4 linked regions of the Lonchura striata genome follow. The protein of the gene in region 3 interacts with the protein of the main gene of each other region in a pairwise test. Links are inferred from orthologs where the notes say so. Each region holds a gene or a part of one and is shown on either strand. Other genes may lie near its edges. The genes, in order: CCNH, POMP, PSMA1 and UBXN11.

Region 1 (7,975 bases), on a different chromosome or scaffold from region 3:
CCTCATACTACTTGCCCCCATATATAATCCCCAGCCCCTGGTGCAGCCATGGCCTCACAGGGTCCAGGAGGTTCCATTGTCTTCAGCAAAGTTCTGCCCAAAGCTCTGGCAGGATGCCACCCATGGCTTCTGGTCCTGCAGCCTGCTGCTGAGCAGGGGCTGTTATTCCTTGTGGACAGGCAACAAGGGAATCTGCAGGGCCAGGGGATCTGTTTTCAGCCAGGCCTCTAGGAGCTTCTGCTGCCTGGTGCTGGTGTCTGGCAACTCTCTGGGAGGTGTGATAACATAGTGTAGGTTGTCATCTCCACCATGATCAGAAAAATTCACTATCAAGATGGATCTTCTGCAGAGTGAGCAGGCAGGATTTCTTTCTGCCCAACGCAAGACGCAGCCAAGGCAGAATTGGTGGCCGCAGGGCATTGCGTAAGCAATGTCATCTGGTGCATTGCAGCAGATGGGGCAGCTCCACTCCTTCCCTGTGGCCATGTGTACTTGTTCCCACAGGTTGGCCCAGGCTCTGACAGCACCTGATTTTACAGAGCAATGGATGTGAGGTCACAGTCATAATCTACCACCAGGATTATGTGTGGGTCCTCTGCTTGTTTTTTCTACCTCTGTCGAGGTTGGGATTGAAGGCACTTGAGACGGTGTTTCATGTCGGACTCACGTGTTTATTATTTCTTATCAGTGAAACAACCTCACAGCTGTGAGTTCTGCAGTCTTTCATTAGCAAAGCATAAAATGGCTAACTATCTCTTGTTACAAGGTCTTTTAAAACTAAACTATCCAATTAGGAAATGACACCTGGACTATTTTCCCTTCTAACCCAATAACTGATACCTCAAATCCTGCAATGCAGACTTTTCTGTCTAATTACAAAACATCACCCAAACCCATGAAGAAGAAGGAAGAAGAAGGCGAAGAACAACCCTTCTCCTCCCTACAACCTGTATCTTGCTTTATATTTATTTCTGTATTCTAAAACCCCAAACTCTAAGTTTTCCATCCTGTGATATTACACACTTCTAACCAACTAAGAATTCCAGTGCTATTAATCAATTTTGGAAGTCTTCTCCACAGCTTCAAGTCAAATGCAGTGCTCTCTTGCAAGTCTCTGCCTTTCAGCACAGAAAGTTGAAAATTCTCAGCATCAAGGATTCCAACAATTATGATTATTCCTAGGAGTATTATTGGAATTACTATCACCTCCACAACCCAATAATGTTACAATATGATGTCTACCCCTGTGGTTCTTGGAAATATACTGCTAGTTGGAGGCTGCCCTCTGCCCTCTTGTGCACCCCAGAAAGGAGGGCATCACCAAACAATGAGATCTGAGTTAATGGATACATGGCTGTGGAGAAACAGCAAGGTTAAAGTTTGGTCCATCACAGATCATCACAAATTCAGCACAGGGGGTTCAGGAAATCAGGGAAAAATTTCAGATGACACTATGAGGAATGGCTGGATTTCACAATCCATGAAGGAGTGTTTCCCGAGAGATGGCCAAAATGCACAGATAACCTGCACAGGAGAACTAGACATGTTGGGAAGGGGAGCCTTTTAGGAGAAAAGTGTCAGTGCAGCTGTATCTGCAACATCATCTAAGTTTGACATTGCCTAAATAACGCTGTCCCAAATCCCAAGTCTGGGACCAGATCAATTCATGTTGGAAGCAATGGGGAAAAGGGTCATTGGGGTGGAGTTTTTTATGTCAGTAGAGGCAGGACTGGAGAAAGTGAAGTGCAAGGGCATCTGAGGAGGGGAAGAAAAGACAGAGCCTTTGATGACTGGCATGAAATACCTATGGTGAGCTGAAGACATGGGTGAGAAGAAGAGAAGTAGAAAGCGGAGTTGCAATAGCCCAAGACATATGCAGAGGGGCAATGGAATATTGGGACAGACATCCCTTGTCCATCACTGAACTGTGGAGGCTGGCATCAGAGTGGCGGACCGTGACAATTCAAAGCCTGGCTCTCCAACAATGCTGAACTGTCCAGTGTTCCCTTCTGCTGGCCCACCTCAGAAATGATATCTGTGAGAGCAAAGCCTCTTGTACTCCGCCCAGCCTCCAGCACAGATAGGAATTCTGTGAACTTCTCATTCCTCAGCTTCTCAACTTCAAGAGAATAAGAGCTTCTCTAAACGTCCAGACCAAATAACACATAAAGTTAGTCCTATTACTGAGTTGAGCAACTGATTAATAACTTACATAGCTTCACTTTCCAAAAAACCTTTCAGTTCTTGTAATTATCTTTCTGAATGTCGTAAAAATTTTTATACTCACTCTGCACTTTATTAGTGTATTCTATACCATTCTTTGTAGACCTTATTACTTGCACAAAAATCACATTGCACTATTTCTTCTTTTTACTAACCTATTTGGCTACAAGATAATATACCAAAATTGTGTTGTGGGTAAAGAGAACTATTGTGAGAAAAACAACAGAGAACCAGAAACAGTAAATTTTAGGTTCTGTTCATAGCTTGGTCTCAGACCAAGAACACAAAGGTATTTTATAATTACTTTTCCAGATATGTTATCTAAATCTGCCTTTTTCCACTTTCAGACTGAATTTTAGAATCACTAATAATTCACCATACCAGTTAAAGTTACAGAAGAACTACAATCAGTGAAGTCCGTAGTTGTTTGGTATCCTTAAACCGACATACCTTTGAAGTAAAGATTCTGAAAAGTGAAAGGCATAAAAGAAATGGAGTCTTTAAAAAATAAAAAAAAATCTGCTTTACCCTCTGTACTGCTCTCTTTAGAAATTTTCATTCCTATTCTTACGTTTTACTCTTAGAGTGATGATGTAAAATAATGTATTAACAATAATACTCAGCAAACTGAGTATTAGAATAACATGCACTATTTATGAGTCTCTAATTTGTGAAACTGTCACAATCAGATGCACAACAGCACCCTTTTGGTATTTTTTGTATATATGGCTCTTGGAACTCAGATTTGGTCAGATTTCAAACTGTTTATATGCTGGATGTGCTGATTACTATAATTTAAGGCAAAGTATTGATGGATTCAGACTATGCAGATAATACAGTTATTTCTTGTGTAGTTTAGGGAAAGGACCTTCGTCATGTCAGCTCACAAAGAACCCCTTTGTCACTAAAAAACAGGAAACAAACTCTCTAACCAGTTTTTTGTTAGAAAGCTGATATTTTTCAATATGTTTGGTACATGGGGATAGCTTCACCTAACACATATATCCACTTCCAAAACTTTTCACTATTTATGCACTGTAACAAATAAAGAAATGAATGTTCATTGACTGTAAGTTCCATAATTCTCTTCATTAGTAAGTATTCTATCTCCTATTTGTTTTCTCACGTCTCATGCTAATTAGCCCAGCTCTCCAGTGTTTTTATCTTTTTCCCAAACAGCACATCCAGTACAATTGCTGAACTGAAAGTGATACAAGTCTGTCATGCATTGACTTGGTTAGTTTTTTCTTTATCTTGAGTTTCTGCAAAATGTCCTCGTTGTTCATGAATTTTCCATTACCTGCATCTAGTTTCAACAATAGATGTCTCTGCAAGGCTTTGTTAACATCCTTCCTGGTCTGAGATTATTGAAACATATCAAAGTGTTGATTCACTTGTTTCAGTGAAACTTAAAGTTTCAGTAATTTCCCCAAACCATGTTCCCACAATACCAGCTTATGACAACATTGCTAAATGCCAGCTACAGTGGCATATGACAGAGCGTAAAATTACATTGCTTCAAAATAATTAAAATGATTAATTACAAGAGATAATTAAAATAATCTATTAGAAAAATTATGAGTAAAGTTATATAATTTCCCACACTAGTTGTGGCACGAGGCTTATTAGTCACAGATGTAGAGACTTAAACCCACATTTATCCTTAGTGTTTGTAGTAAGCACTGTATGATACAAAACAAAGCATTAATCGTAGATAGGATTAATGCACAAACACCTGTCCTAAGGTTAAAAGAATTTTTCTCCCACTGCTGCATAAACTCCTTTTAAAAGAATTTATGTTACTTGCTGGGTAACATTTTTAACTACAAGTCCTGTGACTGTCCACACAATTATGTTTTACATACTTTCCTCACATATGTCAAATACAAATATTAGATACTACACTGTAATATCTAAAATTTCTAGCTTAAACATGAAATGCTGCTTCCTTAATAGTATAACTGGATTTTATATATAGTGGTTATTGGGGGAGAGCAGGAGACTACTGAAGGAACTTTACTGAGCAGAATCACAGAATATTCTAACTTGGCAGAGACCCACCACAATCATAAAGTCCAGCTCCTGGGCCTGCACTGTACATCCCAAGAATCACATCACGTGCCTGACAGCTTTGTCCAAACACTTACTGAATCCATCAGACTTGGTGATTAGACCACTTCCCTTGGGAGTTTGTTCCAGTGCCCAATTCCCCTGTCGGTCAAAAACTTTCCTGATATCCAACCTAAACCTCCACTGACTTAACGCTTAACGTCATGCTATTTTCTCGAGTCCTGTCACTGTCACCACAAAGAGATCAGTGTCTGCCCTTCCTCTTCCCTCACAAGGAAGTTGTAAGCTGCAATGAGGTCTCCCTTCAGTCTCCTCTTCTCCAGGCTGAACATTCCAAGTGACCTCAGCTACTCCTCATATAGCTTCCTCTCTAGACCCTTCATCATCCTTGATACTCTATAGTAGCTTAACGTCTGATTTACATTGCGGTGCCCAAAACTGTCCCCAGCACTCGACGTGAGGCTGCACAAGTGCAATGTAAATTTGCAAGTATACATTAATAAAACCGAAAAGGAAACACAAGCATGCAAAAGTTTACAACATACTGTTTTGCCACGGCCCTTCATTAAAAATTAAAAGTTTGTAAAAGGAAACGGAAACATCCCTCTTCCACGAGGAAGTGTTCTACGCCCGCCCCGCCGCGCCCCACACGCTACGACGGATCCCGGCGTGCCGCGCGCGGGTTCGGCCATGTTGTGGGGCCATGTTCCACAGCAGCACGCAGCGCCGGCACTGGCTCTTTCATAGCGAGGAGGAACTGGCGCGGCGCCGCGCTGAGGGGAACCGCCGGGCCCGAGCCAGGGCGGTGGCCAGCGGAAAGGTGCGCAGGGGCTCGGAGGTTGCGGGCGCGGGGCGGAGCGGAGCGGGGAGGCAGGGGCGGCGAACTCAGGCGCGGCTTTGCTTCTCCCAAGGTGCCGGAGGGTGACCCAGTGCTGCTGGAGCCACACGAGGAGCTGGCGCTATGCAAGTACTACGAAAAGAGGCTGCTGGACTTCTGTGCCGCATTCAAGCCCTCGATGCCGCGGTCCGTTGTGGTAAGCGAGGCGAGGAGGAGCCGTAGCCTCGGCCTTCCTTATTCCTTCGCTTGCTGCCTTCTTGGCTTGTTCTTGAGAGCGCGGATATCTTTAAATCTCTTCATCTCTCTTCTCTCCTTCTAGCATTACAGTCTGTGGCAGCTTGTTGTCTTGTTTTCTGACACGTAGAGCCATTTCAAAACCTGATACTTTTCAACGTGATCTTTTGCTTGTGGCTCTTAAACTTGCTTGGGTGACTGAATTGTTTTGCTTCCCCTTAGCAAAGAGTAGAAACAAAATAGTTGTAGATGATTGGTGCTAATGTTTGATGATACAATGAAACAATCTCCCAGTCGCTGAAGGAGACGGTCCCAAATTTGGGCTGTCATTCAGATGTTTCTCTAGCATTAGTGCTTCTCTGACCACAAAATAAGCTGGATCGTGTACTGGGAAAACATTACCCTACAAAGGAAAAACATTACCTTGAACTTAGATGTCTTGAATGCAGAAGACCGTATTTCAGAAGGGAGAAGTGGGGACATAGAGCTGAACAGAGTGAAATTGTGCCTCACTCATTAAGACATTAAGATGTATGATTTACATTGTCCTACATTAGTCCTCACTTTTCCAAGCATGTGTGTTGAGTACTGTGCTTGAGGGTGTCTTTGAAAGGTAACAGTCACTGTCATGGCATGTGAAGCCAGATTGATGTTTGAGAACTAGCTCCTGCAGAGTCTAATTTTGGAAAGCATCGACTTTCATGCTGATAAACATGCTGCAAAATTTACTGATGTAAAAAATCAAATTGTTTCAATTGCTTGCAACTTTGAGGATGATTTTTTTCAGCCTTTGATTTTTAAATTTCATTTTAATACCAGGTTATTTTCATAAAGGGACTCTTGGCTTTTTAGGCATTGTCTTCTAAAACATGTCTAAAAACAAGGAAAATTGTTTTGTATTACAGTTGTAGTATAAGGTTCTTGCAGGCAAAAAAGACTTTGAAGTACTTCATTCCTGTGTGTGTGAAATACTTAATTTCTGGCTGTATGTGTCTTAGTGCCTCAGTGTATCCTGTGTGCCTGTAGCATATATCCAAACTTGCCCGTTTTGGGAGGGGAGTTTCTTTTTATTTTATTTTTTTTTTCTTCATCCATTTTTTTTTACCTCCCTATTTTTTTCTATTTAGGGTACAGCTTGCATGTATTTTAAACGTTTTTACCTCAATAACTCAGTGATGGAGCATCATCCTCGGATAATAATGTGAGTTATCAATACTTCTTTATATTTGTAAAGACGTAAAAAAAAAAAAACTAAGAAAGAAAATCTGAGAACTTAAATAGGAGTAAAGACAAAATATGGTCAGTTTCACTATCTTTTTGCTGTATTCAGAACATATTTAAAAATACACATTTTCTGATCAGAACTTTCAGTAGGAGAATGGATGCTGCATATGTCAATTATTTGCTTTTTTGGGTTTTTTTTTCCCTCCTCAAGGCTAACATGCACATTTTTGGCCTGTAAAGTAGATGAATTTAATGTATCTAGTGCACAGTTTGTTGGTAACCTTCGAGAAAGTCCTCCTGGACAGGAAAAGGCTCTTGAACAAATACTAGAATATGAACTGCTACTTATTCAGCAACTGAACTTCCATCTGATCATCCACAACCCATACAGACCATTTGAGGGATTTCTAATTGATATTAAGGTAATACTCTCCGATATGCTATATGCTTTGTATAGTAAAGTGATACAAGTCTGTCATGCATTGACTTAAAAAACTTAATTTCCTTTTGTGCCTGTGATTTAAAAAATCTAATTTTCATAGTGATAGACAAATACCTGAAAGACAGTTGTCTTACTTGTGGTCTTTAAGTTATTTGGGATATTTTTGGAATAAAAACTTCTACTTTTTAGCTAAAAACTTGCTACTTTTTAGCTATATAAAATACTGTTGAATTGTGTATTCTGAACTCATGAAGAAGAATGACAAACAGCTGCCTTTTTTTCTAAATCATTACTTTTTAGACTCGCTATCCAGTGCTGGAAAATCCTGAAGTTTTAAGGAAAACAGCTGATGACTTCCTTAATCGAGTGGCTCTGACAGATGCGTATCTGCTCTTTACTCCCTCACAGATTGCTCTCACTGCCATATTATCTAGTGGCTCAAGAGCAGGAATTAATATGGAAAGGTAGTATTATTTTCTTATATGTGTGGTTTAAACAATCTGTTTGCTTCTTGTATAAAACTGTTTTGCTTAGACATTCTTAATTACTAGAATTTTGTATTTGTTGATTGCTAGCACTCATCTGTTCTTTATGGTTTAGAATGGAAGTGTTACTGTTCATTTTCACAAATAGGTGATGAAAGCAGTTAGTTGCTGTCTGGTTTTTATATTCCTTTAAAAGAAGTTAAAACCCTGACAGCTTTCCCTTAATTAGAACAGCTTAGGGTTTTCAGACTCAGTTTGAGGGTTAGACAGGGAAGAAAGTGGAAATATGGTAGAAATTGAGAGTCAACTGAAATTACACTGAACTGACAGCTAATGGGCATGCTGTAACATGCTGTGTTTGATTGCTGCAACTGTTCAGTTGCCATGGGTATGCACAAGGGCTAAGGTGTTGCTTTAAATCACTCTTTTCTTTCCCTTCTGTGAAACCCATAAGTACAT
Region 2 (7,652 bases), on a different chromosome or scaffold from region 3:
CAGAATTTAGATTTATGGATATTATATATATATATATAGATATAGATATATACAGTCAGACCATGTCCTGCTGTTTAACTTAGCAATTTGGAACATTCTATCAAAATAACATCTTTGCTTCAGGACAGTTTGATACATCATATCTTCTGCACTGACAAAGCAGGCACCAAAGACATTCCCTTCAGTCAGCAAGTCTGGCCTCCCACTACCTTGCACAGACCACTTGTAATGGTCCATGAGCAAGGACTGAGCCAGACAAGACTGCAAACACTTATGATAAACTGCAGGTGTAAAACACCTAGCTGGGATTGAGCAATTCATGGAAAAACATGTACGTGTTCACAGGCTGAAAGTCTGAAAATGAAGACAGTAAATCTACAGACAAAATGGGAGGATCAACCTTCACGAGGTGACAGGTGTGCCCTTGGCCTACCTATGGTGGCTGTACACACATTCTTGGACAGCTAAGCCTGACCACACAAGTCCCTACTTGGAAGCCTGCTTGGGGAGAGATGTAAGTAAGAGAATAATATTAAACAGACTTGCTGACAATGTTATTTGTATAAATAAAATTTGACTGTTGTTGAACACCTTCATTCTGTTAGAGACCCCACTCATTAGTTGCTACTATACAAAGCAGTCCAGATAACCACCCTGTTAACTTAAACTTCATAATTAGTTAAGAGTGAAGATGGCTACATTTGATGTTAAGCTTACATTTTTTTCTGTCAACTCCAGTGGGTGGCTGGGCAACAATTCATTTTTCACACTTGTAAAGCTAGAAGAACAAGTAGAAAAGACATTAATTTCAATTGGGATATGTTTTTTTAGTTGCATTCCAAAACCAATCTCAGATACAAACACCAGTCCCCAGAAACACACAACTAGCAAAGTCCAAACTACAGAAAAAGATTAATAGTGAAGCAGCAAGAAAAACCTCTAACTACAGCACTACCAGGAGAAAAAGTTTCAAATATCTTTTATGCTGGACAAAACAGAATGTGTTTTTCTTCCTTGATACCTTTCAGAAAGAGATGAAAACACTAATAAACGAAATCATTACAGATTTAATTATGTCCAAGCTACACTGTATCTCATTTTGAAGCCTCCAAGCTTTACAATGTTATATTGTACATACTTGCCCCCCAATGCCAGTTGTATGGCATTTTAAACTGCATGAGCTTATTCTGGATTCATTATCCATGACAGAGACGTAAGTATCGCACTCAGGTAAAAATGGCAAACTCCAAACTATTTTTATTATATTACTTTTGGGGTTTGTCCCAGCACTGAAATTAACCATTTACCACAGTGTTACGGCACACTCACATGAATGTATATTAAAACTATCAGATATTGCATAATTATCAATACTTTGCTGTTTATTTTCTAAAGGACAGTATCACAGAGGTAAATGCCAGTTTGCAACACACCTTGCAAAAAAACTCTATAAAAAGCCAACATCTAACAGATGCTGAAGTTCAACACTGTCTATGACACAATTCAGCAAGCAAAAGTGAAGCGTACCCTCTGCGCAGAAGATCATGACCTTCAAATAGCCCTGAAGCTGAAACATCTGCAAATGGGATACTATCCTTCAACAGAGAAGAAGTGCCTCTGGAATTCTGGAAGAAAAGAAAAAAAGGATTACTTTACTTCAACAGAACCAGACCACTTTTATATGGGCCATTAAGCCAGCCAAATGAAAGAAAGAGCTCAAAAACTCCTTAAAGTACCACTGGGCAAGCCCTAGACTTCAGCGTTTCTTTAAAATAGAGGCAAAACATCCAAATCCATAAACCCTACACTAATACTGAATTCTTTCAGAGGGTCTGATAAAAACTAAGGTGCTGACAACATTTTTGGGTCTGCTTGACCCAGATCAAGTTAAACTGACAATATACCCCCTGTTTGTTCCACCCTGGGCTGCAGGGATGGAAAGAGGCAAGTCCTAGCTGACAGGACAGAAAGGAGTATTTCTTCATTTACTGCAATACTGACACAAGATCAAATTTGGCCACAGTTTGAGGCTGCCATAAGGAGGACAAGGTGTATTCGAGCAGCCCAGAATGCCAGTTAACTGAAAGAACAAAGGAAAGTAGGAACTTGTAGTGGATCACCAGAAGTCCACAGACTTAGTAAGTACTGCTTACTGGTAACTTAGGCCATTAATTTCATTCTAACCTACCTGAATTTATCAAAGTGATTTTAGGATTGTTCAAAAAATTGTTCCTCCGATAGGGCAATGTCTAATAAACAGCAAAAGGTGACAGCAATAATCTCTGGGAGGTGACAGTGATGAGCAGCTCACTGCAAGGGTTTTCCCCCAGCAGCACTGTCAGATCCAACAGAAAAGTCACACTTACAGTTAAGTTAGTATTTCTGTACCAACATGCGAACCCTCAGTAACAAAGAGCTGTAGAACAGTCCTAACATGCCTGTTGTTCCATGCATATAACCCATATACCAATTTACACACTCAGCACTGACAAGAGACTGCTGCAAATGAAAGCATTAGATACGGTACCTGGGGGACGTGACAAGAGGGAAAACCAAAGTTAAACTCAAGGAGAAAACCACGAAACACTCCCCAAAAGCAACACTCCCGAGTCACCCCAGTGCCCGTCCAGGCAGCCCCAGCGCCGCTGCCCACCGCCGAGGGCCGAGGCGGGACCTCCTTCCCGGCCCGGCCCACTGCAGGGAAGGGCTTTAACCACAGCCGCCCCGAGGCCTCCGCGCCTCCCGGGGCCCGCGCCCGCGAGGAGACCCGCCATGGCCGCGCCGGACCCCTATGACTCAGCACGGCTCCGCTGCCCCCGGGGACGCCAAGAGGGTGACGGGAGGGGTATCTGGGGGGGGCAGCAAGTGAGGTCCGGTCCGGTTTGGCTCGGCGCAGTCGAACACAGGGACACCACCACCCACCCGGCGCCGCCGCTCCCGCACTCACCATCTTGAGCCCCTGGACGCGCCGGCCACTTCCGCCCCGCCCGCTCACTTCCGCCCGGCCCCGGTGCGTCACCGCGCGGGGCGGGGCGGGGCGGGGCGGGGCGGGGCCGGGGCGGCGGTTCCTGCCAGGGGCGCGGGGCTCGTGTGAGGGGCTCGTGTGAGGGGCTCGTGTCCCGGCCTCGGCCTCCTTGGGCACGGCTTTCTTACGCGTAGGTCTGTGCCCTGTAAACTGAGCGCGCTGCTCACTGAAGCACAGAAGCAGTTACGTGGGAAAAGACCTTTGAGACCAGCGAGTCCAACCCGTGGCCGAACACTGAGGCTGCCTCATCCAGTCCTTCCCTAAACACCTCCAGGGACAGTGACTCCGCCTGGGCAGCCCATTCCAATGCTAAATTACCCTTTCTGTGAAGAAATTCCTCCTCATGTCCAACCTAAACCTCTCCTGACAAAACTCGAGACCGTTTGCTCTTGTCCTGTCGCTTGTTACCTGGGAGAAGAGGCCGACCCCCCGCGGCTGCACCCTCCTTTAAGGCGCTTCTAGAGAGAACTTGGGTCACCCCTGACATCTTTTCCAGGCTAAAACTCCAGGTCATTCTCGCATGCCAGCAAAGCCCAGCTGTCTCAGTGCCACCGTGGTCCCAAGCAGGAGCTGAAGCTGACCAACACCTTCCCACAGCAGCCGGGGGCAGCCGTGTCTGTGGTGTCTTGGTGTGGAGAGCTTTTCTCGGTCAAACCCACCGTGTCCCACTCTGCCACAGGCAGCAAAAGCTGCTTGGGTGACACCAAACTCATCACAGTGCTGACAGCCTGAGCTGATGGGACCAGGCAGTGAAGCTTCCAGAGAGTTTTCCATATATTTCAGTGCATAACTCCACATGTGTATCTGGGATGTTTATTTTATATATTTCTTCTGAGATGTGTAGCTCATTTAATCCTTTAACCTTTTCATTTGGATTACCCTTAGTGACCCAAACTGACCTGTTTTTGTGGATTTTAAATGTGGCAATTAAACGTCATCTCTCTATCTCACGCACACACACAGCTACAGAGGCAATATTTAAGCAGGAATTTTCTATGTTTTAATGGAACTTAGATTTGTAAAAAAAAAGACTGAAAAATGAATACACTTTATACTCTGTTTTCCTGTTTCTTGGACAATATCTGTACTCCTCTTAAATCCCACCCACCCCTCACATTCTCAACCCAAATTCTAGCCCTTTGTATTTAGGTCTTAAGTTTAAAGCAAAAACTTCAAAAGAATGAGAATGGAGGACTAGAGTTTTTAAAATCATTTTTAGGAAAATGAGTACCACAAAGGTCTCTCTGATCTTATAATTATAATGGGTACTTGGTTATTGTGGTGTTGCATTCATTATTATAGAATAGATGTGAATACAAAAAACAAATCAAGTTCCTGTTTAACTGCAGCATACAGAAAGCTAGTTTTTGTCACTAAATGTATTTATTTATTGACTGAGTTTGTTGATCAGGATATGACTGTAGAGATGAAACATCTAACTTTCAAAGTCATTCTTGCAGGACACAGACAGGATGCAATCACTCCATGTACATTTTTGACATCACTGCGATCCACAGTCTAGGCTGCATAACATAAAAGGGCATACATTGCAAGAAAGAACTGGTTTTCCTTTAGAGGCTTTCACACTAGGGAACACTTCCAGACATAAACACAAATCACACACGTATTTTTTTCATCAGATTACCAAGTATTTCAAATTGAAGCAAGGCTTGATTCCTTTCACAAACAACTTTGCTTTAATGATCTTACAGCGAGCAGCTCGACAGTGGGTGATTGGGTTCCTCTCTGCAGCCCCACTGCAAACAAATAGGAATTGCACAAGCAATTGTCAGGCTGACCAAACCTGGGACCAGAATGGGAGCCCGTGGTGAGCGATTTGACAGTCCAGGAGCAGCTGCTCTGCATGTTGCAGGCAACTTCAGGGCTGCCACCAGCACCGGGGTCACCAGAGAGCAGACAAGCGGCCACGGGCACTGCATCAGGCACAGCAGCCCCGGCACTCGGCGCCCTGTGTGCTGAAACCTCCCTGCTGGGAGCAGTGCTGGCTGCAGGGCTGCATACTCTGCCTGAAGGCATCTCCCTGGCAGATGGTAACACGATAGAAAGTGACATGCAGTGACTGCAATTGCTAAAGGGGCCTTCTTGTCTGGGGACACTCTTAAGAGGATGTGGATACCTTAAAATTAGTGTGAAAATAATTATAGCTCCTCTAAATTGGTGACTTACATAAAGTTAGGATAATGAATTTCATATGTTGCCTTTAAAGATACACTCCAAATGTTTTGGGGTTTTCGGATATTTTTTTCTCATCACTTTGTGTAAAGGAGGTCTAAAATATATTACTCTTTCATATGTTTTCTGGATATTTATTACCACAACATTTTTGGAATGTCAAATCTGGTCTTTTTGGTTTAGCTGTGTACATTCACTAAAGATTTAAGCTACCTTTAGACTTAGACATTTATCTTTTGGAAATGAGGAAGTGTTTACTCTTTTTAAAGAAAATGATACTGGTCATATGGTCTTCTATCAGTTAAATTGGAATTAAAACCCAAAAAACCTCATTGAACAAAGCTTAGACAGCCTGACCTAAAACAAATCCTGGTTTCAGTTACTCAGCTTTCTCTTGCCTGGATCCCAGCATGGCATCATTTCATGGGAGGTCTGTACATTTCCCGCTGAAACCTCCAGAAGAAAGGTGGATTCAAGAATTGTCACACAGAGGCACAACATTAGCTCAAAACGTGCATTATCATAGCAGCAGAGTTCCCAGAAGAGAGCTGGCTTCTGCAGATCTCCTCTTCCATGGGTAAAGAAGTCTGATATGGAGCAACCTTTACTACCCAATCCTTGTCCTGAAAATTTTTTTGTGGGGGGCAAAGGCCGCAAAAAGAGTATGTTCTCCAAGGAAGCTTGTCTTTGTATCCATGTTTTTTTTTTAATATTGATGCAGCTTTGTCACTTTTCAAAATATAATTCCTTTGACATATCAGTGTCAGCAATGTGTTCTGACTACGTGAAGCTCTATCAGAAGAAAACCTTTATCCTGTGGGACTGGGAAACTCTTTCACTGGTCTTTGTCAACAGCCAGTTATAACTTGTTAAAGTGAAAGTACTTTTTATTTGTTTTTTAATCAAATCAAATAAACACATTTTCTTTGATCTTTAAGAACTCCTTTCTTGTTAACTTGCTTTATACTTTTATGTTTTGGCATTCATTGTAAATCTAATTATTTAAAAAGTTATTTTGTTTTACATTATTAAACCTTTTCTGAATTTAAGATAAACAGAGGCATGTTTTGTTAAAGATTAAAAATAAATTTCACACAAAACTGCAAAACGTAGCAAAGATAATAACATGTAGGCGTCAGACTGTTCCAAAACAAGACTCTCTAGGGGCTCTTCTGAACACACGGCTTCGTTAAAACCATGTTCTGAAAGAGCTCAGGAAACCCCTGTCTCTAACCCACCCTTTCCTGAAGCTGGTGAAAGTATTTAGAAAAAAGTTACTGTTGCAGGGAGACAAAAAAAAAAAAAAAAAAAAAAAAGAAATCCCACATATTGCTGAAAGAGCTTATTATTTCCTGTTTGTTTACTAGCAAAATCTAGTTTGTAGGATCTTCTTTAGTCAAAACTTTCCCATCCTCATTGTTCAAAAGCAGCAAGCATCCAATAGGTGACCAGAAAGAAAGCATCAGGATGTCTATATTAATGTAGACTTTTTTAAGATACTGAAACATCTAGTGGGGAAATAATACTGACCATCCCTCATTTCATTATCTGATTTATAAGTCATTGGTGAAATTTAAGTGGAAAGATAATATATCTGTTTTCAGTTCCTTTTTTGGTGGGTCAGACAAGGGAAGCCAGTTGTGTTTTGATCCAAGCAATGTACTTGGATTAAAAAGGAGTCCTTTTTCTCTAGAAGTGATGACTTACTTTGCAGCTTGTCAGTGCTTTTGTAAGTGTAGCAGTACTTTTTTTGTACTAATCCGTTGTTTGTACTGCGTGAGTGTGGGCTTCGCTGCGCTCTTTGTGCAGGCTCAGAAAAGCAGGATGCTGCGCTGGGAGAGCCGGTCACTAGGGGATGCTCAGCACCCGAACACTCCGCGCCTGCTTCCCACAGCGCTCGCCAGCCGCCTCTGTTCAGCCTCGCTCAGATACTCCCGCCTGGGTTTGAGTACTTTTGCACTCGCAGTGCTGTGAGAATTATGAATCAAGATCAAAAGATAAAAAACATGGTATGCGCAACAGCTGAAGCTATATGAGCAGTACTTGATGGAATGCTGCTGGGTTTATTTCCCAGTTAATGGATTGATAACTATTTTCAGTAAGCTCTGTTACCTCCCTTTGACACTATGAAAGTAATCCTGCAGGCTGAGTCCAACGTTTAGCCAAGCGAGTGTTCACGTAGTCAGGACCTCTGGTCTGAAATCAGGTCCCTCATGAGAATTCAAAGGAAAATATTTTTGTGTTTCCCCTCAGTCTGGAGTGATTTTTCTCCCAGGAGCCTACCCACTCTGAACATATAGGTGAGACTAAGAGCACATTTCCTGTGAGAGTGTTTTCCTACGGGAAACCTTGAATTTAATTAATGGTAGTCACAGCTGAAAGAATTGAATGGAACATTACTTCCTAGTCCTGCTACTGTGCAGGAAAAAAATCC
Region 3 (6,954 bases):
TAATAATTCTTCAGTTGTATTTTGATGACTCAAACAATTCTACATATGCTGTTTAAAGCATAACTTCTAGGCTAGCAAGCAATTTATAGCTCAAAGTACATTTTTCTTGTACAATAAAAGCATATTATACAGAAACTCTTCCTCACTCAGAGTGAAGAAATAAAATTCAGGTCCAAGAAATAGCAATAATATCCATCTAAATGTAAATATATTGTTGGTCCAGTCAAACAAGAACCTACAAATAAAAGCTATTTCCATGACCAGGATATGCTACAACAGCTCTGCTGTGTTGAACCTTGTGCCCTTGTTTATTCCAGAACTGGACAGAATGAGCCAGACTCTTCCCTGCAGCTCTCTTTCACAGGGATTATTTAAACCTGCTTTCAGCATTGCCTGCTCTTTCCTAGCCAGCTTTGATGATCAAGCAAGGCTGGTTGCCCTGCAGGCCTGTCCTGAAAAGGTCAACTGATGTCAGTCTACAAAAGCTATGGATTAAAAAAAGTAAGGAGTGGGCTTTAAAATGCCTGTAGTTGATACCTCAATTGGTCAGTAGTTTAAAAATGGAAAAAATGCCTTTGGCAACATGAATGCAAGTTTGTCTTAGAGACTGAAATGTCTGCACCTCTACTAATGTGGCAGCAAAAGAATAGGAAAGAAATTTGGTATAATTTACATAGAGAGGTTATTTTTTCCTATTTACAGTATTAATACAAAGCAATATATTTTTTTCTTTGTAAGAACTTCCAAGATCATCTTTAAATGATTCTAAAGACAAATATGTACACTTATATTTGCTGTCAAATTTTTATTTTTAGTCTTAACCTACTTGATGAAAATGTCATCAAATACTACATATGTCATACACCAAGGCTTCTAATTAATTAATTGAGTAGTCTTGTCACCATATATCTATTAATGAAGCAAATCTCTTACCTGTATTAAATCCAAATATGGATTGTTCACATTGTCAAGGCTGTAAGACAGTTCTCAAAATAACTTAGTCAAAATGCTCAGTCCTGAGCGCATTATGACAGCACTGCTATTTGTGGGCAACCACTTGTCCATCTGACAGGAGTGGCTCTGTGATCTCTCTGGGATCTATTCTTCCCCTTCTCCAAGGGGATGGAGGCACTGCCTTCATTCAGTCTGCCTCTTACTCTGGCACAGCAGTTTTCTTCTCCTCCTTTGGCAGTGCTGTGCCCAAGCAGCACAACGTGCAGCCCCTGGGAGTGCTCCCAGAGTGTCACCACTGACCTCAGAGGAGCCAATCTTTTGCCAAAATACTCCACCTAAATACAGGAGCATAGCACACAGGGGTTAATGTGGGCTGATGGTGAGTGGTATCCCAAAAAGGGACTTGCAGGAATGTTGTTTCCTCTCGTGAATCAGCAGAAGCAGAGGCATAATGGCCTTGCCTTTCAGTTGCTGTACATTAATCTCTGCAGAGCAATGCCTGTCATCGCTCAGATGTCAGATGCTGTTTATAACTCTGCTGGAAACACAGCATAGAATAAAACAGGCTCATTAGTTTCTCTTGAGACTGTATATGCATGGTTTAGGATAGCTATGCTTTCACTGCTGCTCTTAGCTCAAACATTGCAGCAGCAGCATCGGTGGCTCAGACAGTTGTTTAGTCTGTGAATTTGTCCAGTTGCTCTCTCAGTATGTGACCAAAAGACCATGATGTGTTCAGGTGCAGAGGTTTCCACAGTATAGGTATGACAAGACCCAGAAGTGCCCCCTGGGCTTGGCTTGAGCCTGCTGCTTTTAAAGACACCCCGCACCAGAACTGCAGGACGGAGAGAAGTGTTGAATCTATTCAGCATCTCTGTGCCAGCTGTGATTTGGAAAGAGTTCAAAGCCTTTCCTTCTTTATCTGCTATTTACACTGAGGACTTCTACTCCTTACTGGCATCCTTTACATGAAGCTATTCCATAATTTGAATCCTTCTTTTTACTTTTCCCAGTGCCACATCATTTCAAGGTAGGAAACAAGAGTCATGGCCAATGTTCAACGGTGTCAGATGCAGTATGGATTTACACAGTGGCACAGCAATGCTTTATGTTTTGTTCTCCGTCCTAATCATTCCTTACATTTAATTTGGACACTACTGGGCACTGAACTTGTTTTCATACAGCTATCAATTGTGTATTCATTGCTCTGAAGTCATCCTGGTTATCAGGTTACCAAATGTGAAACTAAAAAGGAGAAAATATTATTTTCTCCTTAGATTTTTTAATAAGTAGTTCATTTAAATGTGAGGATAGTTTTAGCTTTACTTTTCAGTCCTGTACTCTTTTATATTGTGATGTCTCAATGTAATATACTGATTGCTTTTTCACTCTGCAATTAGATTTCTAATATATGCAAAACACTTCCTTTCTGGTGTGATGCCTTTGTTATCTGAGCAACAGCCATTTGATTTTTGCCTTGTTGATTTTGCCTTTCTCGCCTTCTGAATCGACACCTTACACCCTCAGTTCAAATACTTCAACGAGGAATAGGCTGGGCCCTCTTTAATGCCAGCACATTGAGGTGAAATCATTGAGGTGAAATCACCTCCAACCCTCTGGCTTTAACCCTGCCTGTAGAGCTCTCGTCCTGAGCCTAAGGGACAAGAAGGAGCATCCAGAAGGAAGTGAATGACTTCCTCCCACGGTAAGCGTTTCCCGTTCCAGAGATTATTCCTGTCTCCGGCATCCCCTTGCGCTGCTGCCCTGGGAACGCGGAGCCGTTGTGCCGCCTGCAGGATCCCCGTCCCCTGCCCCCTTCCTGCTGCCACGGGACCCCAGCCCCGCCGCTTCAGAATAAATTGTTAATAGCTGGACATCTGGTGGCTCCGGGTTTGGCTTTATCTTGTTCTATCCATCTAATAAAGGGGGAAGGATTACTCCGGAAAATACTTCGGTTGTTATTTAATAAACCTGCGACAGCTCATACAGCTCCCAAAAGTTCTTCATTTCTGCAGCTATTACCAAAATTCTCCACGAAGTTAAGTTTTACAATCCTGCCTTTTGATCGCTAAAACCGCGGCTGCTGACATTCCTGGCCGTACAAACACTGAACAATGGGGAGTCTTGGCGTGGTTCAGCCTTCTATCCAAATTAATGCGGTTTTGCCAAAACGAGGGGAAACGTCTGCGTGTCGCTCTGCTCCCGTGGCCGGGGTGGATGGAGCTCTGGGGAGTCCGGAGTTCCAATATAATAATATAATATAAAATAAAATAAAATAAAATAAAATAAAATAAAATAATATAATATAATATAATATAATATAATATAATATAATATAATATAATATAATATAATATAATATAATATAATAATATAATATAATATAATACATAACATAACAAACATTAGAATAGAATAGAATAGAATAGAATAGAATAGAATAGAATAGAATAGAATAGAATAGAATAGAATAGGAGTCCCCTGTTGCCGTAGGAAGTTACTGGGGAGTCCGGAGTATAGTATAGTATAGTATAGTATAGTATAGTATAGTATAGTATAGTATAGTATAGTATAGCATAGCATAGCATAGCAAAGCATAGCATAGCATAGCATAGCATAGCATAGTATAATAATATGAGTCCCCTGTTGCCGTAGGAAGTTTTTGGGCAGCGGCACCAGGGAGAGGCTTCGGGAATATTTTACTGCAACCTCCTGAAGCTCATCAGCTTGCTTCATAAAATGCTTACACATCCTGTTCCCACACAAAAACGGTGAGGAAAGGAAGTAGTTTCCGAACCAAACAAACTTTTTTATTTATTATTATTATTATTATTAATCAGAAAGCTTAAAAATAACAAAACAATTTCGGCAATTAAAACCGGCCCCCAAGGAACCGCCTCGCTCAGGGCGGCGCGCAGGCGCGGCCCATCGATGAGTCGGGGCGCGGCCCATCGATGAGTCGGGGCGCGGCCCATCGCTGAGTCGGGGCGCGGCTGGCGCTGCCTGCCCGCCGCCCGCCCGCAGCGCTCCGCTCGCCGCCCGCCGCCGGGAGCCGCCGGGAGCCGCCGGGAGCCGCACCATGGTGAGGGCCGCGGGCCGGGCCGGGCACACAGCCCGGCACAGGGAGCCCCGCCGCTGCCCGGCCTGCCCGGCCCGCGCGGGGCAGCCGGCAGAGCGGGCGGCGGGGAGCGGGCCCGTGAGTAAGCAGTTCCCGGGCCGCGCGGCGCCGCGGGCGGGACTGGGCCTCGCTGCCGGCGGGAGCGGGCCCTGCTTGGGCCCCGGGGCACAGACCTCCGAGCCCCGTGAGGATGCGTGCGGATATCTCCCCAGGGGTCTGGAGCACCTCTGTTGTGAGGAGGCTGCGGGAGCTGGGCCTGTTCAGTCTGGGAGAGGGGATTCATTAATGCCTACAAATATTTCATAGGCGGGCGAAGAGGACTGTGCCAGACCTTTTTCAGTGGGGCCCAGTGACAGGATAAGGAGCAGTGGCCATAAACTGAAACAAAAGAAGTTTCACCTCAACATAAGGAAAAGCTTCTTTACGCTGATACAGAGCACTGGGAGTGCTGCCCAGGGGGGCCATGGAGTCTCCATCTCTGGAGACATTCAAACCCACCTGGATGAGCTCCTGTGTCACTGCTCCTGTGACCCTGCCTTGGTAGGGTTGGCCTGGATGATTTCTAGAGTCCCTTCCACCTCACAGTTCGACAAAAGGAATTTAACAAAGTAAGAATTTGTTTACAGAAAGGGCTGTTGTTGGAATGGGCTGCCCAAGGAAGGTGGTGGAGGCACCATCCCTGAAGGTTTAGGGAAGCTGGATGTGGCACTCAGGGCCATAGCCTAGTTAACAACTGGGTCGTGTTCAGTCACAGATTGGACTCGATGTATCAGAGATGTTTCCAATGTTATTGATTGTGTAGTGCTGGGATTCTGTGAAAACAACCAGGGTTTCCTCCAGGAGCACTCTCTTAGCTTATTAGGGATACTAATGAGTTTTATTTTGTTCATTCCAGTTTCGCAACCAGTATGACAATGATGTCACGGTTTGGAGCCCGCAGGTAAAACCTTTATACACTTGCTCACTGGGGTTTTAACTTGCTTTTTGGGTTTTCTCCACCTCACAGCAGTGGTATTACAGTCACAAAGGTTGTGCTCAGGTACCTGAAGCTTCCTACAGGCTGCTCCCCTCTCCCTTTGTAGGCTGTAGGTGACCAAGAAAGCCCTCAGCACACCCCTGTCTGCTGATGTATGAACCTAAGTGCTGCTTACCTGGGCCTTGTCCCCTCCAGGTGCTTAAGGCAGTTGCTTTCTAAATGTACCTGTGAGGTGCAAAAGAGATGGTGTCATCTTCGGGTGGTTGGACAAGATGATCTTGTAAAGATCCCTTCCAACCCAAACCATTCCATGACTCTGTGATCCATTCACAGAGCTATAATAAGTTGGTAGGTAAGGTACACAAAGCATGGAACAGTTGCAATCTCCCCAAAGTTAGGCCATTACTGGGTCTTTCTCTATTTTGTCCGCTAGATAATTGGGATGTTCAAGTGAGATTTACATTTGAGTTTGAAATTTTACTACTTATGAATCAGTTTCACACTGTTTTTTGTTACTGAAAATATACATTGTGTGTTCTTAAACTTACACAGGCTGTGTTGAAAGTAAATATTTTGGAATTTTAAAAGGCACTGTCAGCTGAGGTGTTTAATATTGCCTCTTCTCTCACTATGGATATTTTAAGACAGGATACTTACAGAAAACCAGAGCCTTGGAAAAAGACTCGTTTATGTATTCAGGAAAACTGGAGGTTTATTTAAAATGCAAGTAGCAAATTGTATTAATATAAAGCTAATGTATCATTAGTTTGTGGGTTTGTATTGCTACTGAAATTATTCATCATGTAGCACTATTGCATGTGAGATTCATTTTCTGTACAGTGCAACAGAGAGTGTTCTCTCCTTTCCATTCTCCGTGAAGACAGCCTTGAATATTTCCCTTTTTTTCACTCAATGCCATGATAGGTGTAGGTGCCTTTGAAGGTGTTGATGCCTTTGAGCTGTTTTCAGTCTTCTTAATGGTTGTGTTTCTCTGGCAGGTTCTGTATCACAAACTTTTTTTGTTTTATCTGTTACTTTAAAAGTTACTTTTAAAATGATAACATTCACTTGAGATTTTTAGCAGATACTGCAAAATATCAGCAACACAAATTTCTCTGTTTTTTTAAGTTGCCTTGAAAATATTAATAGTGTTGGGTTTGTTCTGAAAAAAAGACATTTTAAATTGCTGCTGTGATGCAACTGCTACTCTATCCATTCTTGCAGGTGAGGCAGTCATGTGATGCCATAATAGTTTTTGGCACTGTTAATGCAAGAGCAAATAATACTTTACTGGGAGATGTTTTTGAATATGTTAATAAAGAAAAGGAAATAGGAGATTTAAAAACTCAAAGTGGTTTCTCATTTTTACAGTCTTGCATGTCATTCCTGACAGCTGACAAATTCATGTTGGACAGGTCACAGCAATTCAGTGCTGCTCTTGGGCAGGAAATATCTTATGTTACTGAAATTCCAGTTACAACAGGGGATGAAATTCAACATTAGGGTCTTTCTAGTAGACCTAAAAAAAGAACCTTATGCCAAAAATCCCCAACAACCTATGGGAAGGTGGTATCCTGTAGATCATCCCTTGCACATTCACCATAACAGTTGCTGTGTTCCCCTCCTTGCCAGCTGATGGGATGCAGCTCCATGGTGTCATGCTTGCAGGATAGGAGTGCCTGTATTGGCTGGCTGACATAGGCTGGAGTGCTGAAAATGGGGAAAACCCTCAGTGGTTCTGTTACATGCACACGAAAGCTCCTGACCACCTCTGCAGAACTTGTAGGGACTTCATTTCCTTTGAGACCTCTACTCCTGTTTCAGACTTGACTGCAGTTGGCCAATAACTTGTTCAGAAGTTATTGGGGAATGGCTGGTGAGACACAACAATTGTGTAAGACTCATT
Region 4 (7,117 bases), on a different chromosome or scaffold from region 3:
TGATGGAGCCAGGCTCTGTGGGTAAGTTACTACAGCTCCTGTGTACACAAAGCACCTGATTCCATTTTCCACCCACTCTGTGTCAATGTCATGAGATCAACCAAGCCTCAAATGTGGTTTGTGAATTCTGCAGGAGACAGCTGCTCCTCCTGAAGGGCTGAGCCATCAGGTTCTCCCCCCAGAAGGGTGTACAAAACACAGGGATATAAAACCAAACCTTCTGCTGAGCTCCTGTTAGACTGCTCCACGTCTGTGTCCCTGAGAGGGATCGACGTGAAGATCTTGGCCCAGGATCCCAAATTCTGAAGACCCAAATCCTGAGGTTTTGATGCTTTTCTACTCCCCCTTCTCTGAGCACACGGGGGGAGCTGGGCTAGCAGCTTCAGCCCAGAGTGGAGCTGGGATCTCACAGAGGTTTACCCGGCCTGCAGGGGCTCCCTGCTGGCAGCTCCTCCTCCTGGAGTGGTTCTGTGTCTCCCAGCTGGTGCCGTGCCTCTCCAACCCACACCAGGCCGTAGTCGCTCAGGAACCGCTGCAAGAGCAGAGTCGGGTGGGCTTTGGTGCCCAGAGCTCCAGAGAACTGGAAAAGGGAGCCCGAGAGGGGTCAGCTGTGGCTGTGGGAGGCACAGAGGGAGGTGGAACAGGTTTGTCTTGGCCCTGGCAGACAGACTTCCTGGCAGGGCAGTGATAGCAGCTCCATCAGCAGCAGGGCAAAGGGAGGAGATTGTAGTGCCAGGGGAACCTCCCAAGGCTGCAGGAGCTGGGCATTCCTGCAGCCCTGGCAATCAGGATGAAGCTCACAGGAGGCCCAGGTGCTGCTCACATCCAACCTGCTCCCTTTTCTCAGAGGAGAAGGGTTGTGAGGACCAAAGGGGCAGCTTGGAAAAGGCCAAACTGGGAGTGCAGTGACCCCAAACCACAGGAGAGCTGGCTCAGGGCAGGCAGAGCAGCCTCACCTCCATCTCCCAGACCTGGCTCTGCAGCCGAAGGCACCTCGCTTCCAGTTCTGTGCTGGGCGAGTCAGAAGCATCTGTAAGAGAAAAGCTGACGTTCCTCTGAAGATCTCAAGCTGTGGATCACCTGTGCCACACAGGGCAGGGCCCCAGCAGCACCTGCCTGTGCTCAGTGAACTCCCACCCGTGGGACACAGGGGCTGAAGGGGACAATTCACCCTGCAGTGGTTTGACAAGGCTGCTGGCAGGCCAAAAGACAGTTGTGAACAAGCCTGGGGAATTTAAAGCCATGGGAGCTGATGTGAGAGGTGCTGTTGGCAGGCCTACAGTGGAACTTGCTCAGCTCAGCCCTAAGGAGCCCAAAAGGAGCAGGTGCCTGCTGCAGCTGGATCCTGGAATCTTGGCTGGGTGGCAGCACGGTGCAGCAGCAGGAGCAGAGCTCGTGTCTGTGGTTTGACAGCCACATTTGAGCTCTGTGCTCAGGAAATGGAGAGCTCACCACAGCCCTGCACACAGCAGGCTGTTCAGCCCTGCAGGAAACGTCTGTGGGCTCCGGCTGGGGCTGGGAAAGCTGCTGGATGCAGGGGAAAACACCCCTGTGAGCCACTGCAAGCTGGGCTCAATCTCGAGTTCTGCTGGGCTGGAGTCCTGTGGAGACTCCAGGGGTGTGTTTGGCTGCTCCCAGCTGCGAGGAGCTGCCTTCCTGCTGCTTGAACTCGGCAGTGTTTACTGCACTCCTGCCCAGCCTGCGGTTGGCTTCGCAGCCGTGGAGGCTCCGAAACCCACACAAACAGCTCAGGATGTTTTGCAGCAGAGTAACAGACACAAATGCCTTGCTCTGCTGCCCTGCCCAGAGCTGCAGAACGATTTTACCTTCCCCTTCCTGAAGAGTCTTTATCTTCTCCTCGAGCTCGGCGATCCTCCCGGCCTTCAGGGGCAGAACAAAGGGCTGGGTCAGTTCTGGGCTCAGCCCCTCCAGGCACAGCTGGCACAATCAGGGCTGCTGCAGCTCCTCTCCCCCACCCAGCGCTGCCCAAAGGCTCAGCAGGGCTGAACCACCCCACAAACCCCTTAATGAGCCTCAAAGGAGGGCTGGGATAAATGGAGAGCTCCAGGAGTGGGTGACCCATCTCCCGTCCTCCCTCTGCACCAGGTGCTCCTGCTCAGACCTGCGGGGAGGGGCTGGTATGGAAACTAAACCAGCATCTCTGCAGCCACGTCTTAAAAAATCCAATCTGAACAGAAAGAGGTATTTATTCTAAGATTTTAAAGGTATTTATTCTAAGATTTTAAAGGGTATTTATTTATTCCAGTCAGTGATGCAGAGAGGGCTGCTCCAGTTCCACTCTCCTGTGTGAGCAGCTGCTGTTTCAGAAAACAAAAAGGGGGCATGTACCATCACAGGAGGGAAAAAAAAATTAATTCTGAAGCCAAAGAGCTGCTGATGTCAGTGCCAGGGTGCTGAGAGTCACTGCTGCAAGAAGCCCCAGCAGGGACTGTCCCCTCTGCCACCCCAAGGCCTGATCCCACTGCTCTGTTGCTTTGTAAAGGGCTCATTTGGGTAATTAACAGCAGACCACAGATGGACTCTGAGCCCACACAAGGTCTGAGAGGTGGAATTCCTGTGGCAGAGGACAGAGCAGCCTCAGCAAGAGGCTGACTTTTACCTGCAGCTGGATTTCTTGTGCTTGTTTCTCTATTTTTTTTTCCAACAGAGAGATTTTTTCTGCCAGAGAAGACGAGAGCTCCATGTCAGGGTGAGCTGCACCTGAAAACACAAATACCTGTGAGCAGGGTTCCTGGTCTGCCACAGCAGGGAGGACTTTTCGGGTAAAAATCCCTTGGTTCTGGTTGTGTGTGCGGGAGGGCAGCCACAGAAGGGGTCTGGCCGGGGGTGTCACCGAAAAGCTGCTGGGCCAGAACTCCCAGCTCCCTCAGGGGCTTTACCCTCCGTGTTGTTTTCAGTGCTGACCCCGGAGCAGGAGCGGAGGGAGCCTTGCAGGGACCCCTCGGCCCAGGCCTGGTCTGGAAACTCACCCCCCGCCGCCATCTTGTGTACAGCCGGTTGCCACGGCGACGCGAGGCGGGCCGCGATTGGTCCGGCGCTGGTCACGTGGTGGGCGCTGGAGTTCCCTGGGAACTACAATTCCCAGCGTGCACCGCGCGCGTTCTCCCGGGACACCGGCGCCGGGAATTACCGGGAGCGGGATCCATTTTTCTCCTCAGCCCCCCTCCGCACACACCCGTCAGCCTGGCCTGGGGCTCCTCCCGATTCCCTCACCTGCTCCCTCGGTCCCTGTTTCCTCAGCCGGGCCCCGCTGGTGCCCTGAGCTGCCCCAGCTCCTGTCCCCATCCCGGGAGCCTTTCCTGGGTGTCCCCATCCCACCCGGAGAGCTCGGCCTCGCCAGCTGCAGGCGAGTGGGACAGGCCAATTGTCCCCGCAGTTTTACCTCCTTTGATGGGGCGTGCACAGAACCACAGACAGGTTTGGGCTCCAGGGACCCCAAAGCCCATCCCACCCCCTGCCATGGGCAGGGACACCTCCCACTGTCCCACATTGCTCCAAACCCTGTCCAGCCCGGCCTTGGACACTGTCAGGGAGGTTGGCTGTGCTCAAGTAATTTCTACTTGCCCGAAGAGCCAAACCGAGCCAAATTTGGTGAAGCTTTTCTGCAGCAGAGCCCTCAGCTGAGGGTGGGAGCTGCAGGGAGCTCACCGTGATGTGCTTCACCAGCACGAACCCAGACAGCAGGTGTGTGTTCTCAGCACGTTCCAGTGACTTTATTCATTTCAAACCATCTTAAAATAACCAGATCCTTTCGTTTCCTGTGCTGCAGGGCGAGGGAGCTCGGAGATCTGCTGTGAGCAGATGGAGCTGGGGGATTAAAGGAAGCATTTCCCGCTTTAGGGGATTAAAGGAAGCATTTCCCCCTTTATTTAGGATCTGTAACTGAAATCCCAAGGGATGCCTTGGCTCCAGCTCCACCTGGAGGGAAGGAGGTTTATTCCTTCTGACCTGGGCTGCGATTTGCAAACCCTCCCTCCGATCCAGGGAGGGTTTCAGTCACTCTTAGTCCTTGGTGGGTGTGAGGACAGAGAGGCCCCAGGGAGAAGCAGAACCTGAGGGGTTTCAGCCTTTCCTTCAACTTTTTAACTCGGGATGCACTTTTTCTTTTCACCTACTTCTGAAAGAACACCCACTGCAGTGGGGAATTTTATTTTTATCCTTTTATCCATTTCTCCACTGCTTCCCGCCATGGCTAGCATCCTGCGCTCATCCCTTTACACCCTTTTGTCCCATTTCTCCACTTTATCTCTATTCAGCTGAAATTTCCCTGCTCTGTCACTCATCACTGCCGTGCCAGGGAGCAGGGAGCTGCTCCGGCGCCAGGGGATGCGGAGGAGCAGCTCCACGGCCCGGGCATCCCAAATCCACGGCCCGGGCATCCCAAATCCACGGCCCGGGCATCCCAAATCCACGTCCCGGGCATCCCAAATCCACGGCCCGCACATCCCAAATCCACGGCCCGCACCTTTTTCCTCGCAGCGCGGGCAGCAGCTGCGACTTCCCCAAAACCGCGCCGGTCCCGCCGCTGCTGGGGAAGGGAGGCGCGATTGGGTGCGCGGTGCCCCCGCCGGGCTTAAAGGCTCGGGGCGAACGGGGAAGTGCCACGGGAAGTGTCGGAGCCCCGCCGAGCCCCGGCCATGCCGCCCCTGCAGCGCGCCCGCCTGCTCGCCCTGCTCGCCCTGCTCGCCCTGTGCCTGGTAAGGACGAGCCCGCAGCTCTGAAAACCGCCGTGTTTGGTTTTCTCTTTGCCTCGCACCGCTGTGGTCTCAGCAAGGGATTTGTGCTGCGCTCTGCCAGGTCCCGACTCTTCCATGCGGTTCTTTTTTTCATGCCTTTCTTTGCCCTGAGGGCACCGCTCACCTCCGGAACCCTGGCAGAGCTCTCCAGCCCATCTTCCAGCCTGGCCGTGCCCGCTGTGGGGATGCTGGGCTGGAGGGGCTGCTGGACACACGCCTGTGGTTTCCTCTGGTTGTTATCGCCCTTCCTGCTGCGGGCTCCATGGGTCGAGAGCCAGGCTGAGGACATGGGGCTCTCCTGGGTGTCAGGAATGAACCCAGCAGCGCTTTTGGGGAGCATGATGCACTTTGAGGCAGCTTTTGGGATGGTTTTTTTTCTCCTACATGTTGGTAACGATGCCAGATTTGTCTGTGCTTATTTCACTCATGGAGTTCCCCACAGATGGGACCTGCTGCTGGCTCCACGGGGTGCGTGTAGATTTTGGGATTTTCCCCTCTGTAAAGCAGGCAAAAAGGACAAGAGTGTGGCAAAGGGGCAGAGCAGAGTTTTGGGCTTCGTTCCTGCTCCTTTCCCATCTCGGGAGGGACCCTGGGGAGGGGTGTAAGACAGTGTGCTTCACAGTGGGAAACGGCATCGCTTTTCCAGCAGCCAGGACAGCGTCAGAGAGGGAAAGAAACTGCCCCGAGCTTGCCACCCTGGCTGTGCTGCATTTCACACACCGACTGCACCCTGCCCGGGCTCGGGGGTCCCCCCTGCTCCTCGCACAACCCCCACCCCTCTTTTTCTTCTGCAGGGCCACGGCCCGACACCTTCTCACCACTCCCTCGCGGCAGCCAGAGGAGCAGACACCACTCCCTGGCTTCCACTTCCCCCCTAATTTCTGAACCCCCCGGGTCAGCAGCAGGGCAGCGACTCCAGGGAGAGCTCACTTCCCTCCCTGCCTTGGGACGAGCCCAAAGCCAAGAGCTGGAGTGGGAAGGGAACCTGCCAGGGGACAGGAGGCTGTTTGTCCCGCCTGGGAAGGGGCAGCGTGGGCGCCGCAGTGCCCCCAGACCCATCCCGTGAGGGGTCTCGGGGCTTTCACCGCTGCTGTGGGGAGGGATGTCTGACGCTGTTTTCCTTGCCAGGCGCTCGGCCAGGCCAAGGACACGAAAGCGAACGCGGAGGAGCTCGCTCCGCAAGATGCCGCCGCGGCGAACGCCACGGTCAGCGGCGGCCGGAGCTCGCCCGGCGCCAGCCCCCCGCTCCTGGCCGTGGCGCTGGGGGTGCTGGCAGCGCTCCTCCTGCAGCTGCGCTGAGCCGGGGGCGTCCCTGCAGCCCCCCGAAGCCCCTCCCCAGGACGGCATCACCGGCACCGCACCCGTTCCTGCCGCCACCCCCGGCCTCGGAGCGAGCCCCCGGCCCTGCGGAGCGGAGCAATAAACGCGCCGGTGCCGACACCTCGGGCTCGTTCTCCCGCTTCGGTACCGGGGTTGGTGGGGGCGCAGCACCGGCCCCTTCTCGGGGCTTCAACCCTCGGAGATGGAGGGGCCACGCCCGAGCCGGGGGGGAGAAGGCCCGGGGGTCCCCGAGTGAGCATCCCCCGGGGGTCCCCGAGTGAGCATCCCCCGGGGGTCCCCGAGTGAGCATCCCCCGGGGGTCCCCGAGTGAGCATCCCCCGGGGGTCCCCGAGTGAGCATCCCCCGGGGGTCCCCGAGTGAGCATCCCCCGGGGGTCCCCGAGTGAGCATCCCCCGGGGGTCCCCGAGCGGTTCCCGGGGATCCCGGAGCGCTCCCGGAGCAACTCCCGAGCGGTTCCGGAGATTCCCGAGCGGCTCCGGAGATTCCCGAGCGATCCCTCAGCGTTCCCCGGAGGCTCGGGCGGGGCAGCCCGCGCGGAGCCCCAGCCAATCCCGCGGCAGGGGCTGCTGCTCCCTGCCAATCCGGCGCCGCCACCTCCCGCCCTCAGCCAATCACAGCCCGACAGGGTTAATATAAATGCTGAGCGCAGGCGCCCCGCTTCCTGTGAGGGGCGGACGCGGCTCCGGTCGTGTGTCTGTGTGAGGGGGGCTCTGTAATATTGAGCGGCTTTCGCCTTCCTCAGCGTCCCTTCCTGCCGGGCCGATCCTAACCTCTAAGTCCCCCGTGTGGCTGCCTGTCCCCCTGCCCGGACTGGTCCTGGGGCAATGGAGACACGTAAAAGACGGGCGTTTGTTGCCGGAAGCCGCGGCCGGCCCAGCCGCTGGAGCCGCCTGATGTCCCCCGGCATCGCCGGGCTGTCAGCGCTGCTCCCTGCGAGGGCCGTGAGTGCTCCGTGCAGCGACCAGAGCACGCTCCTGCTGGCAGCCCTGTCCTCTCCCCAGCAGCGAGCACCGAGTTTG

The links.
Region 1: the proteins of PSMA1 (region 3) and CCNH interact in binary tests that used the Homo sapiens proteins (3 or more experiments, as listed by UniProt). The two-hybrid records come from large-scale screens. The link is inferred for Lonchura striata from reciprocal best matches to the Homo sapiens genes PSMA1 and CCNH.
Region 2: the proteins of PSMA1 (region 3) and POMP interact in a two-hybrid assay, tested with the Homo sapiens proteins (2 studies listed by BioGRID, with this or other methods). The link is inferred for Lonchura striata from reciprocal best matches to the Homo sapiens genes PSMA1 and POMP.
Region 4: the proteins of PSMA1 (region 3) and UBXN11 interact in binary tests that used the Homo sapiens proteins (3 or more experiments, as listed by UniProt). The two-hybrid records come from large-scale screens. The link is inferred for Lonchura striata from reciprocal best matches to the Homo sapiens genes PSMA1 and UBXN11.

Annotation. Positions count from the first base shown.
Region 1 is NC_134642.1:53,251,946-53,259,920, reverse strand, and holds the start of CCNH (cyclin-H), read left to right. Parts: upstream 1-4,970; 5' UTR 4,971-4,996; coding exon 4,997-5,113; intron 5,114-5,204; coding exon 5,205-5,327; intron 5,328-6,492; coding exon 6,493-6,566; intron 6,567-6,800; coding exon 6,801-7,011; intron 7,012-7,331; coding exon 7,332-7,495; intron 7,496-7,975. UniProt on the Homo sapiens protein: Regulates CDK7, the catalytic subunit of the CDK-activating kinase (CAK) enzymatic complex. CAK activates the cyclin-associated kinases CDK1, CDK2, CDK4 and CDK6 by threonine phosphorylation.
Region 2 is NC_134604.1:68,760,815-68,768,466, forward strand, and holds the start of POMP (proteasome maturation protein), read right to left. Parts: upstream 3,010-7,652; 5' UTR 2,951-3,009; coding exon 2,948-2,950; intron 1,626-2,947; coding exon 1,528-1,625; intron 779-1,527; coding exon 718-778; intron 1-717. UniProt on the Homo sapiens protein: Molecular chaperone essential for the assembly of standard proteasomes and immunoproteasomes. Degraded after completion of proteasome maturation. Mediates the association of 20S preproteasome with the endoplasmic reticulum.
Region 3 is NC_134608.1:50,396,894-50,403,847, forward strand, and holds the start of PSMA1 (proteasome subunit alpha type-1), read left to right. Parts: upstream 1-3,951; 5' UTR 3,952-4,033; coding exon 4,034-4,036; intron 4,037-4,967; coding exon 4,968-5,012; intron 5,013-6,954. UniProt on the Homo sapiens protein: Component of the 20S core proteasome complex involved in the proteolytic degradation of most intracellular proteins. This complex plays numerous essential roles within the cell by associating with different regulatory particles.
Region 4 is NC_134628.1:342,854-349,970, reverse strand, and holds the start of UBXN11 (UBX domain-containing protein 11), read right to left. Parts: upstream 3,004-7,117; coding exon 2,901-3,003; intron 2,722-2,900; coding exon 2,621-2,721; intron 1,882-2,620; coding exon 1,827-1,881; intron 1,031-1,826; coding exon 957-1,030; intron 533-956; coding exon 421-532; intron 1-420. UniProt on the Homo sapiens protein: May be involved in the reorganization of actin cytoskeleton mediated by RND1, RND2 and RND3. Promotes RHOA activation mediated by GNA12 and GNA13.